2 linked regions of the Lytechinus pictus genome follow. Each later gene encodes a partner of the first gene's protein in a complex. Links are inferred from orthologs where the notes say so. Each region holds a gene or a part of one and is shown on either strand. Other genes may lie near its edges.

Region 1 (5,362 bases):
TTTTCTCAAAACCTTCTGCAGTATTTCTTATTATTTTTTGTGCTATTATTACAATAAACTGTTTGTCAAGGGTGAATTTCTCCTTTAAAGTTATACACTCCAGGGATTCGAGAGGATGCTTGTTGGACATACATGTGCAAATCCAAAACTTAAAATTATAATTATTTTCTTAATCTTTAATGGATTTTCCTCAAACCATGGCTTCACAAATATATTTTTGTTCTGCTATTTTTACAACAAACTTTTCTTCAGGGCGAACTCCCACTTTAAGTCGACCAGATTCATGTAGCCACGGTAAGATTTTAATATTGAAGGGTGTAGAAACTTGCAAATTAACTTACTTTTTACTAGCAAGCAGATCTAAGGTTTGGTAGACCAGGGCATAGAGATATTCCACTTTCTTGCTGTAGATACAGGCTGAACCCTGAATTAGAAGCGCTGCCTCCGCAAAGTTCATTGTGGTAGAACCGCCATCGAAGCTGATTACAATCACCTCCATCTAAACAAAAATCACAAAAAGATTCAAATCTGAATTTGTGCTCTAGTTCATTTGTATTAAACAGAAATGAAAGAAACATCACAATGACATTGCATATAAATACAGGAAGTTTCTAAAAACAGGTAAACAAAGTTCGAAGGTCAACTATTTGGGCCAACCGGTGTGTTGGCTCAGTTGGTAGAGCGTCTGTCTCACATCCGGGAGGTCAGGGGTTCGAACCCCGGCCGAGTCAGACCAGAAGACGTTAAAAGATGGGAGTTGCTGCTCACCTGTTTGGCGTTCAACGATTAAAAGGAATAGAGCCTCATCGATCTGGCGCTGCACAGCGGCTGCCGGGCCCATGATTGGGCAAAGCAAATTTTCAGAGTATTTCATTTCATGTCTATTTCGAACAATAAAATATCGATTTTTTTTGTTTTTTCTACATCAAGACTACCCTGTTTATATGATTTATTCTTTTTTTTACATGATTAAGTAACTCATCAACTTTTATTTGACACCTTGCTCACGTCCCAATTGTCATCGGCCACAGAGTTATGGTCCATCGAAGGTGAAGGGTAAAAAACCTACTTTTTCCAAGTTTTGGGTTTTAATGTACATGCACAAAACCAACTTTGTTGTAGGGTTTGGGTTTCATCGTAGAATTTCCCTCTTCATAGAGAAATGCTATCCCATCTGTTCACCTTTGTGAGTGACTGGCATTGGCATTTCAACTGCCTATCTGCAATCATTGTACAACGCCTACTTAGCTTGTTGTACGCGAGCAAATGGGAGGCTGAATGTCAAACATTCGTACCGTTGCACAAAAGACGTACCATCCAAAATGTACCGTCCAAAATGTACCGTTGCACGGCTTTAGGAGGTGACGTCACAATACGATTTAATTCATTGCGCTAGGTAAAAATGAACAATACGCGTATAAGCCAGCTGGCTAAATGCGCAAGGCTGCCCAAGGTCATGTGCGCTTGTGTGATTTTGCTTTCTGCTTTCGGTATTTTTGCTCCCTTTTCATAGATTACTATAGGGATAAACTCTTTGTTTTTTCATATTTTCGCTAAATTCTGAGGCGTTGTACAACACAAATAGCGAATATTCTTATTCGTGCAATGGTGCGAGATTTCGCATTCGGTGAAAGAAAGAAACGCTCTATTCACCTCATGCGAAATCTCGCACCATCGCACTCATGCCTATTCGCTATTTGTATACTGTTGAACCAGTTATTCATCCAAACCTTTTGCACCAACATATTCCAACGTTTCAACAGTACATGTATAATAGCTCCCCTTTCGACGTTGACCGTCTTGCATTGCTCTTCTAACCGATTAGAAAAAAACGTGACTACATTTGCACGTCTCATATCACTTTCTTAATTTAATTCTCCACCCCGATCACCCTTGATACTGCATTATATACCTTCATTTTTTAATGCTTAATTTTGACATAAATTTGTATGTTATTTTCGTCTATTTATTTTTCTTTTTTTTTTACTCCAATTTTATTTTTACCAATTGTATTTTACCCATGCTTTGATATATTTTGTTTTTCGTTCTTATTTTTGTATGTTTATTTATGTTGATATTATTTGTTATCATTTGTCCACGACATTGCTGAAAAGCAGCTTCTAGCTGAAAGCAGGCTTTTTAACCGTGATTAAATAAATAAAATACAAATACCATTGCGGGACTGTATTAAAACAAAGAACATCTATCTCATGCTAAACATGTGCCTGCAAGTCACAAAGGATGTGTTCGACCAAAAGTGCAGCTACATGTAGACACCAGTTATCTAACTTTCCCTCGAAAAAAATATCAGAATAGTAATAACATTTCACCAAAATTTGAAGGGATCCCTCTGATGAAACCAAAACCCTACAACAAAGTGGGTTTCGTGCACGTACATTAAAACCCGAAATTCAGAAAAAGTAGGCTTTTTACAATTTGTCTTCGATTGACCATAACTCTGTGACTGGCGACAATTGTGACTTTAATATTAAAGCAAGGTGTCAAATGGAAGTTGATGAGTTACTCAGTCATGTAAAAAATAAATCACAAGAATATATAATGTAGTCTTGATATACATGTAGTTGACCTTTGAACCTTGGTTATCCTTTTTAGAAACACCCTGTATGAATATAAATCGAGAATGTACATCTTTTTTCATAAGTAAACATAAGAAATATAGAGCAAATTATCACTCATGATCAACATAATAAAAACAAACAATATGCATTTATATAGCGCCATCTAGAAATATTCTATTCCGAGGCGCGTTGTTATTATCATTTTTTACCACGGCTTTAGCTCAAGCTGCCTTTCAGAAATACAGGCACATTTTTGTAGAGCATGATGAAATACATATACGTCAGTACATCTGCATTAGTTGGGAATTTGTCCATCCTGGAAGCCAACAGATATTACCTCAGTCAAATCAAATCCAGACAAATAATACATTGATTTAAATTGGGCTAATAATGTGAATGAGGTCATATCTTGGGCACCCATGGACCGATTCGCACCAATTTTGGGTTTTACATGTACATGTACCTATTAAAGGTGACAGGACATTTGCTTCGGCGACAATTGCTCGGGGCTTACTTTCGTCCAAGATATAGCATTAGGGTGAGGGTTGCAATAGCATTTTATGTTAGGCTTAGGATAGGATATAGTGTTAAATCCAGGGTGGAAGTCGGTCATTTCATTATTGTGTGATATTTGCATTACAGCAGAGCGATTGTCGCTGGAGCAAATTTCCTAGAACCTTACCGAAATGGTATAAGAAATGCTGAAGTGCAACAACTTTTTTTTGTGACGTCACCAATGCGGTACTCCACAATCTATACCCCTTCAAAAAAAATATAAACTGGGTGGGTTTCATAAAGTTGTTCGTAAGAGCGACCTTAAGAACTGGTGAACCTTTCTTACATACTGAATAATCACCAATGACCATTTGATGGTGAATATCACTTACCACAAGAAAGGATCACCAGTCGTTCTTAAAGTTGCTCTTAACTTTATACGAACAGCTTTATGAAACAGCCCCCTGTATCCCAGTTTGCCATACCTCAGCAACATAATCCTCTAGATGTGATGCAATGTCAACCTCCCAGTTCTTCGCTAGATCCCTAATGGGTTGAAGAAGGTGAGCAAACCTCGCGTCGGATTCCATCTCGACAGGCAATCCTGTAAAGAGAGAAATGTCAAGAGATAGCAGGGAAAAGTTGAACTACCGGTATTGCTTTCGACAAATAAAAAGAATAAATCTGAAGAATTAGAGCTAGGTCTAAATCAAAATTTCTGGCTGCTAAAACTGCAGACTTCCTCAGCGAAATGGTCTTGGCTCTTTGTTTATCGTCTTTGACACGCAGCCTACGTGAGGCTGTGTCAAGTCTCCATGATAAAGTTAAAAAGACAATGACAAAAATATGAAAAAGGAAAGACTTCCATATGTCCCCTCCACTAATTAAAAAAAAAATACTTCTCCAAAACCCCCTCATTTTGTTCTCTTTTTCTTTTTTTTTGTCTTCTTACTTCCAGTTGGAACTTGGATCAAAACCTCTCGCTGCATATATCGAGGCATCTCCAGTCTGTCGCCTTACTCACCGAGCTAGCAGGAATTGCTGAAAGCCATGGGTTTCATAATGGTTATCTTCTTCTTTCCTTGGTTGGCAACCAGTCAGGATTGACTATTTTTGCCACAGCTTTTGTTCATTTTCAATAGCTTGTTATTATTTTTTTTTCCTTTCCCATTCCTTTTTTTTTCTTCTCTCTCTTTTTTTTTCCCCCTTCCTTTTCTTTTCTCTTCTTTTATTTTTTTTCCCGTTTCTTTTCTTTTCTTGTTTTCTTTTCTTCTGTTTTTTTCTTTTCTTTTCTTGTTATTTTTCTTCTTTTTTTCTCTTTTTCCCTCTTATTTTTTCTTATTTTAAATTCTTTTTCTTTTTCCTTTTTTCTTTTTTTTTCGTTTCTTTTCTTTTGTTCTCTTTTTTCTTTTCTTGCTTCTTTTTTTTCCGGCATTTTTTTCTTTTCTTCTTATATAGACATATTGTATTTTTGTCCTTTTAAAGTGATAATTCTTTTTTCTTTTCTTTTTCCTCCCCCTCCTTTTTTTTCCTGCTATTGTTTTTCCCCCTTTTTTCTTTTTTTTCGTTTCATTTCTTTTTGCATGCATTCTGTTTCTGCAGCACATTTGATTTTCTTCTGCTACAGTAAGCTGCAACAGAGAAAACAAAAGTAAACTGGATATCATATCGTGTGTGTGTGTGTATTTGAGTTTTGTTAGACGTGTATCAATCAGATATGACTATGTACATCTGGGACCGACCTTTAACGTCACCATCCGAAAGACGCGACCAGGGCTCGAACCTCTACATCAATTTGTAACTTCCCCACACAGCTTGGATTACAGGCGCACGCCAAAACGCCCAGTTGTAATATCAACCGATATTACGACTAGTCTACTCTCCAAGAGTATTGGGTATTTATTTTTCTAACTAAATAAACCGATGCCATTAGGAATTACACACACTCAAGATTTTGACGGAATAAAGCCATATTTTGGTATGTATCCAACTTTTCCTTCCTAAATCTCTTAGATATAGAACTATGTTAGATAGTTCTTGATAAACCTCCATATTTTTTTTTCAATTTTAATAGAAGGGACATATGGAAGTCTTGCCATGAAAAATTATCAGAGTCCGGCTCTAGCATATGCTAGGGACTGCGCAGACTTGGCACATCAAAATGTAGACCAAAAGCTTCAGTGTCTGTATTTTGGTTGTTCCGCTGAACTGCGTTGGCTCCACTCACCAATACATAGACTGAAGAGCTTGGAGGCCTGTACGTACAGACAACGTATTAGCAGTAACAT
Region 2 (3,600 bases), on another chromosome or scaffold:
TGAAGGTCATGGGGGAGGGGTGATCCACCCTTTTTTATCCCCTGGCTGCTACATAGGTAAAACAAAATTGTTTAAAAAAACCCCCAGATTTTAGGGTATTTGAAATAAGCAGTCAGATATGCATTATATTTGATAAGATAATGTTTTGCTATGTAATATATGCAACCTCAAAGGTAATGCGTATTTTGAATAAAGTATACTATCAATCTAATCATTTTACATATTGATTTTGGTGTGTTCATACTTGTTTACATCCATCTAGGCATTGATCAAGAGAAAGAGGTCCTTGGATTTTTAAACAAAGTGTGTGAAAGAGGCACAGACTCACCTTCAATGAATAAAGTCATGAAAGTTTATATGTCTTTAAAGACAATTGTCACTTAGGAAAATGTTTTATGTGGTAGTGTTATTAGAGAATCAAAGGCCAAGTTGATTTCAATGAAAACTGAAAGTCGCAAAAGCATAACAATTGAAATTGACAGATGCAGTGGTACACCTGTACATCTTGAGCTGTACGCAGGCTCATGTTGTGTATGGTGTAGTGGTTTTTACTCCATCTCCTAATCAGCGAATCATGGGTTCAAATCCTACTCCAGGCTTTAAATTATATTGAATTGGGATTAAAACCAATCATATCATTTTGGAACAGATTTAAATATTTGTCATTTAAAGGATAAAATGCATAAAATTAATGAGTTTATTTATCAGAATATTACCCATTGTATACTTCAGAATCATGATCTGTGTGTGTGTGACTTTAATTCTCACTATTTTCTCCAGCTTTTAACTCTCCTCTTTCTCGACTGGCCGGGATGTTGTTTTCCCCTTCTAATTCATACAATTGATGACCTGTTATTACCAATTCAGTATTTTGGGGATATCAAGTTGGTCCATAGATCTAGAGATCTTTAACGAAGTTAGATGATATAGTCAAACGTGTCCAAGTGCCGGTATATGGGTTGTCCGGTGGGGTGACTGGACACTTCAAATTTTGAAGCCTTCTTTACTTTGGTACCATGTCAGAGTACTAGTACCGGTACTAGGTCCATGGCCACACAAAAAATAAAAATTCAATAAGTTGCAATCTTCTTCACTTTTGTTCTCTATAATATTGCTTAACTGTTCTCACTAAAAATTGATGGAATTTTTCCCGTTAACTTTCCCAAATGTCTGTTTAAAATCGATTGTCCGGACACACAACCTGTCCGAACACACAAAAACTGGGTACATCTTTAGTGATCTGATTATGGTCTGGATTAGTAGACTACTTCATATTCCGAAATCGGTAGTTTCCGGACAATTTCGGAAGAGCGCGCGGTTTTTCGAACTGTTTGTAATTCGCTTCACTGACTTGGTCTTGGTTGGAGGTAAGCTTCAATTTTCCTTTAAAAAAAAGAAGAAATTACTTTGTAACGGATTTGTGTGTTTAAAGTATGTTTTCTGTTTTCTTCGATGCTTTTCCTTGGACAAAAATGTTATCGTAATCAAGGCAGAGTCTGAGTGAGATCGATCGAGAGTTGTGTTTCTTCTCCCAAAGTTGTTATTTCGGTCCCATCCGTTAGATGCCGTGTTGTGTATTTTTGTTTAAACAAGTGCACGACATCCGTGTTGTAAAACTTCAAAGTCAACCGCATTCTTGGTGGGGGGGGGGGGGGGCGCTCACACTAGTACGAGGTTAGTATGCTATACTAACCTCGTACACCGAACCGTGTTTGGCCCTGGATTTCTATTCTAGTCGGCAAACATCGCTTCATGTTCATTACACTTTTTTACAAAATACAGAAAAAATATTTGCCGAAACTCCTCGCTACTCACCGCGGAGTCACCGGTGAGTAGCCATACAAATGTTACAATCGCTCCTTTTTCTTTTTTTTTTAAATAAAAATCATACAAAGAAGAGCAAATTTGCTTACCTTGGTCTGGAAAGTGACTTCGCATGTCTCTTCTAGTCTACGGAAATAAAACTTATTTCCGTAGACTAGAATTAAGTAGAAGAGACATGCAAAGTCACTTTCCAGACCGAGGTAAGCAAATTTGCTCTTGCCGCCTCTTCTTTGTATGATTTTTATTTAAGGAAGCCCGATGACGGATGGTGGCATTAATAAATTTCACAGCCTTGATTCAGCTCCTCTGTAATTTTGATAACTGTGTCTGAATAGTAAATTCTTTGAATGCGCAAATCTTATTACTTGATTAGATATGGGCACCAATAAATGAAATACCTTCAAAAACATAATTCAAGATTATTATTGCCGATGATTACACTTTTTTGCAAATAATTTAAGGCCAAGTAAAAAAAGAAAGTAGTTGATCGTCCGGGTTTTTCGAGAGCAGTGATGAGGGATGTCCTTACTATTTGCTATCTTACTATTTTTTTAAAAACAAGGAGACATTTTTTCGGCCTGTTTTTTTTACATTGGTGATGAGGGAGGTCCTTACTATTTACTATTTTTTTTTGCTATTTTTTAATCAAATGATTGTCATGCCATGTCAGGCTTGATTTAGGTGATCGACGCATGCTTGAATATTAATAATGAATTATTAGAAACATATATATGCATTTTCCGTATCATATAAATAAATATATATTCAATTAATTGGAAATCTATGGAAAATATATGATGCAATAAAACTTCATTGATGTATTACTGATGTACTGTATTGTTGTAAAACAAAATGTTCATGTCAAGTGAATGATTTAAACATTATTCTACATTATAAGGGTAAAAAATACTTGGGGGAGGGGGCATTTAGAAAAAACTTTTATTAAAGCCATTTTTATTACCATGGAGACATGTTTACTTTTCTAGTTAATATCTTTTTTTTCCAGGGCATGGTTTCGCATCGCAGCTTATCCTGCTTGTATATTTATGTTTAATATTGTTTATTCAATTGCTATTCATTTTCTTTATTAATATCAATTGCTAAAGGATTTTTTTTTCCAGGGCATGGTTTCGCATCGCAGCTTGTCCTGCTTGTATATTAATGTTTAATATTGTTTATTCAATTGCTATTGCCTATTCATTTTCTTTATTAATATCAATTGTTAAAGGAGAATGAAACGCTTGGAGCAAGTTAGCTTTTGTGAAAGCAGAAAAATCAAAGAATAAGATCAACAAAAGTTTGATTAAAATAGGACTAGCAATAGAAGAGTTATGAGCATTTGAATGTCGAGATCACTAATGCTATGGAGATCTTCCCATTGGCAATGCGACCAAGATCTATGATGTCACAGATGAACAACTCTCCCCTTTTGGACACAGAAAATATACCCCAAAACATTTCTTTTTGCTCATTCTAATCATATGACAAACGATTCATAAATGATATAATGTTGTGAAACCTCTGTACTTGTCCTCTCATAAAGAGAACACCTCACCTTGTGATAGACTCTATAAAAGTGAGAATATAAGTGAATTAAGTACTAAAGTAATGAGGGAGTTGTACGTGTGTGACATAACAGATCTTGGTCGCATTGCCAATGGGAGGATCTACATGGCATTAGTGATCTCAATATTCAAATGCTCATAACTTATTATTCATTCAATCTTCCTCAAACTTTCAACAATATGTTTCTTTGATTTTTCTCTTTGATATGGA

What was found. Proteins that work in one complex are often made in the same cells at the same time.
Region 2: the proteins of condensin-2 complex subunit H2-like (region 1) and condensin-2 complex subunit G2-like are in contact, whole or in part, in a cryo-EM structure (PDB 9F5W), measured with the Homo sapiens proteins. The link is inferred for Lytechinus pictus from reciprocal best matches to the Homo sapiens genes NCAPH2 and NCAPG2. Residues at the interface, in NP_689512.2 of Homo sapiens: Pro316, Trp317, Gln318, Ser319, Leu320, Pro322, Phe323, Asp324, Ser325, Leu326, Glu327, Ser328, Lys329, Pro330, Phe331, Lys332, Lys333, Gly334, Arg335, Pro336, Tyr337, Ser338, Val339, Glu344, Gln360, Asp361, Phe362, Gln364, Trp365, Tyr366; in NP_001268861.1 of Homo sapiens: Lys248, Leu251, Gln252, His292, Ile294, His295, Leu296, Pro297, Arg299, Ser300, Val302, Lys340, Ala341, Arg342, Asn343, Ser344, Glu345, Val346, Pro388, Tyr389, Pro390, Arg393, Gly425, Glu426, Ala428, Phe429, Asp430, Thr431, Ser432, Arg437.

Annotation. Positions count from the first base shown.
Region 1 is NC_087253.1:9,892,142-9,897,503, reverse strand, and holds the start of condensin-2 complex subunit H2-like, read right to left. Parts: upstream 3,698-5,362; 5' UTR 3,665-3,697; coding exon 3,560-3,664; intron 500-3,559; coding exon 342-499; intron 1-341. UniProt on the Homo sapiens protein: Regulatory subunit of the condensin-2 complex, a complex that seems to provide chromosomes with an additional level of organization and rigidity and in establishing mitotic chromosome architecture.
Region 2 is NC_087247.1:41,091,583-41,095,182, reverse strand, and holds the start of condensin-2 complex subunit G2-like, read left to right. Parts: upstream 1-1,271; 5' UTR 1,272-1,367; intron 1,368-3,600. UniProt on the Homo sapiens protein: Regulatory subunit of the condensin-2 complex, a complex which establishes mitotic chromosome architecture and is involved in physical rigidity of the chromatid axis.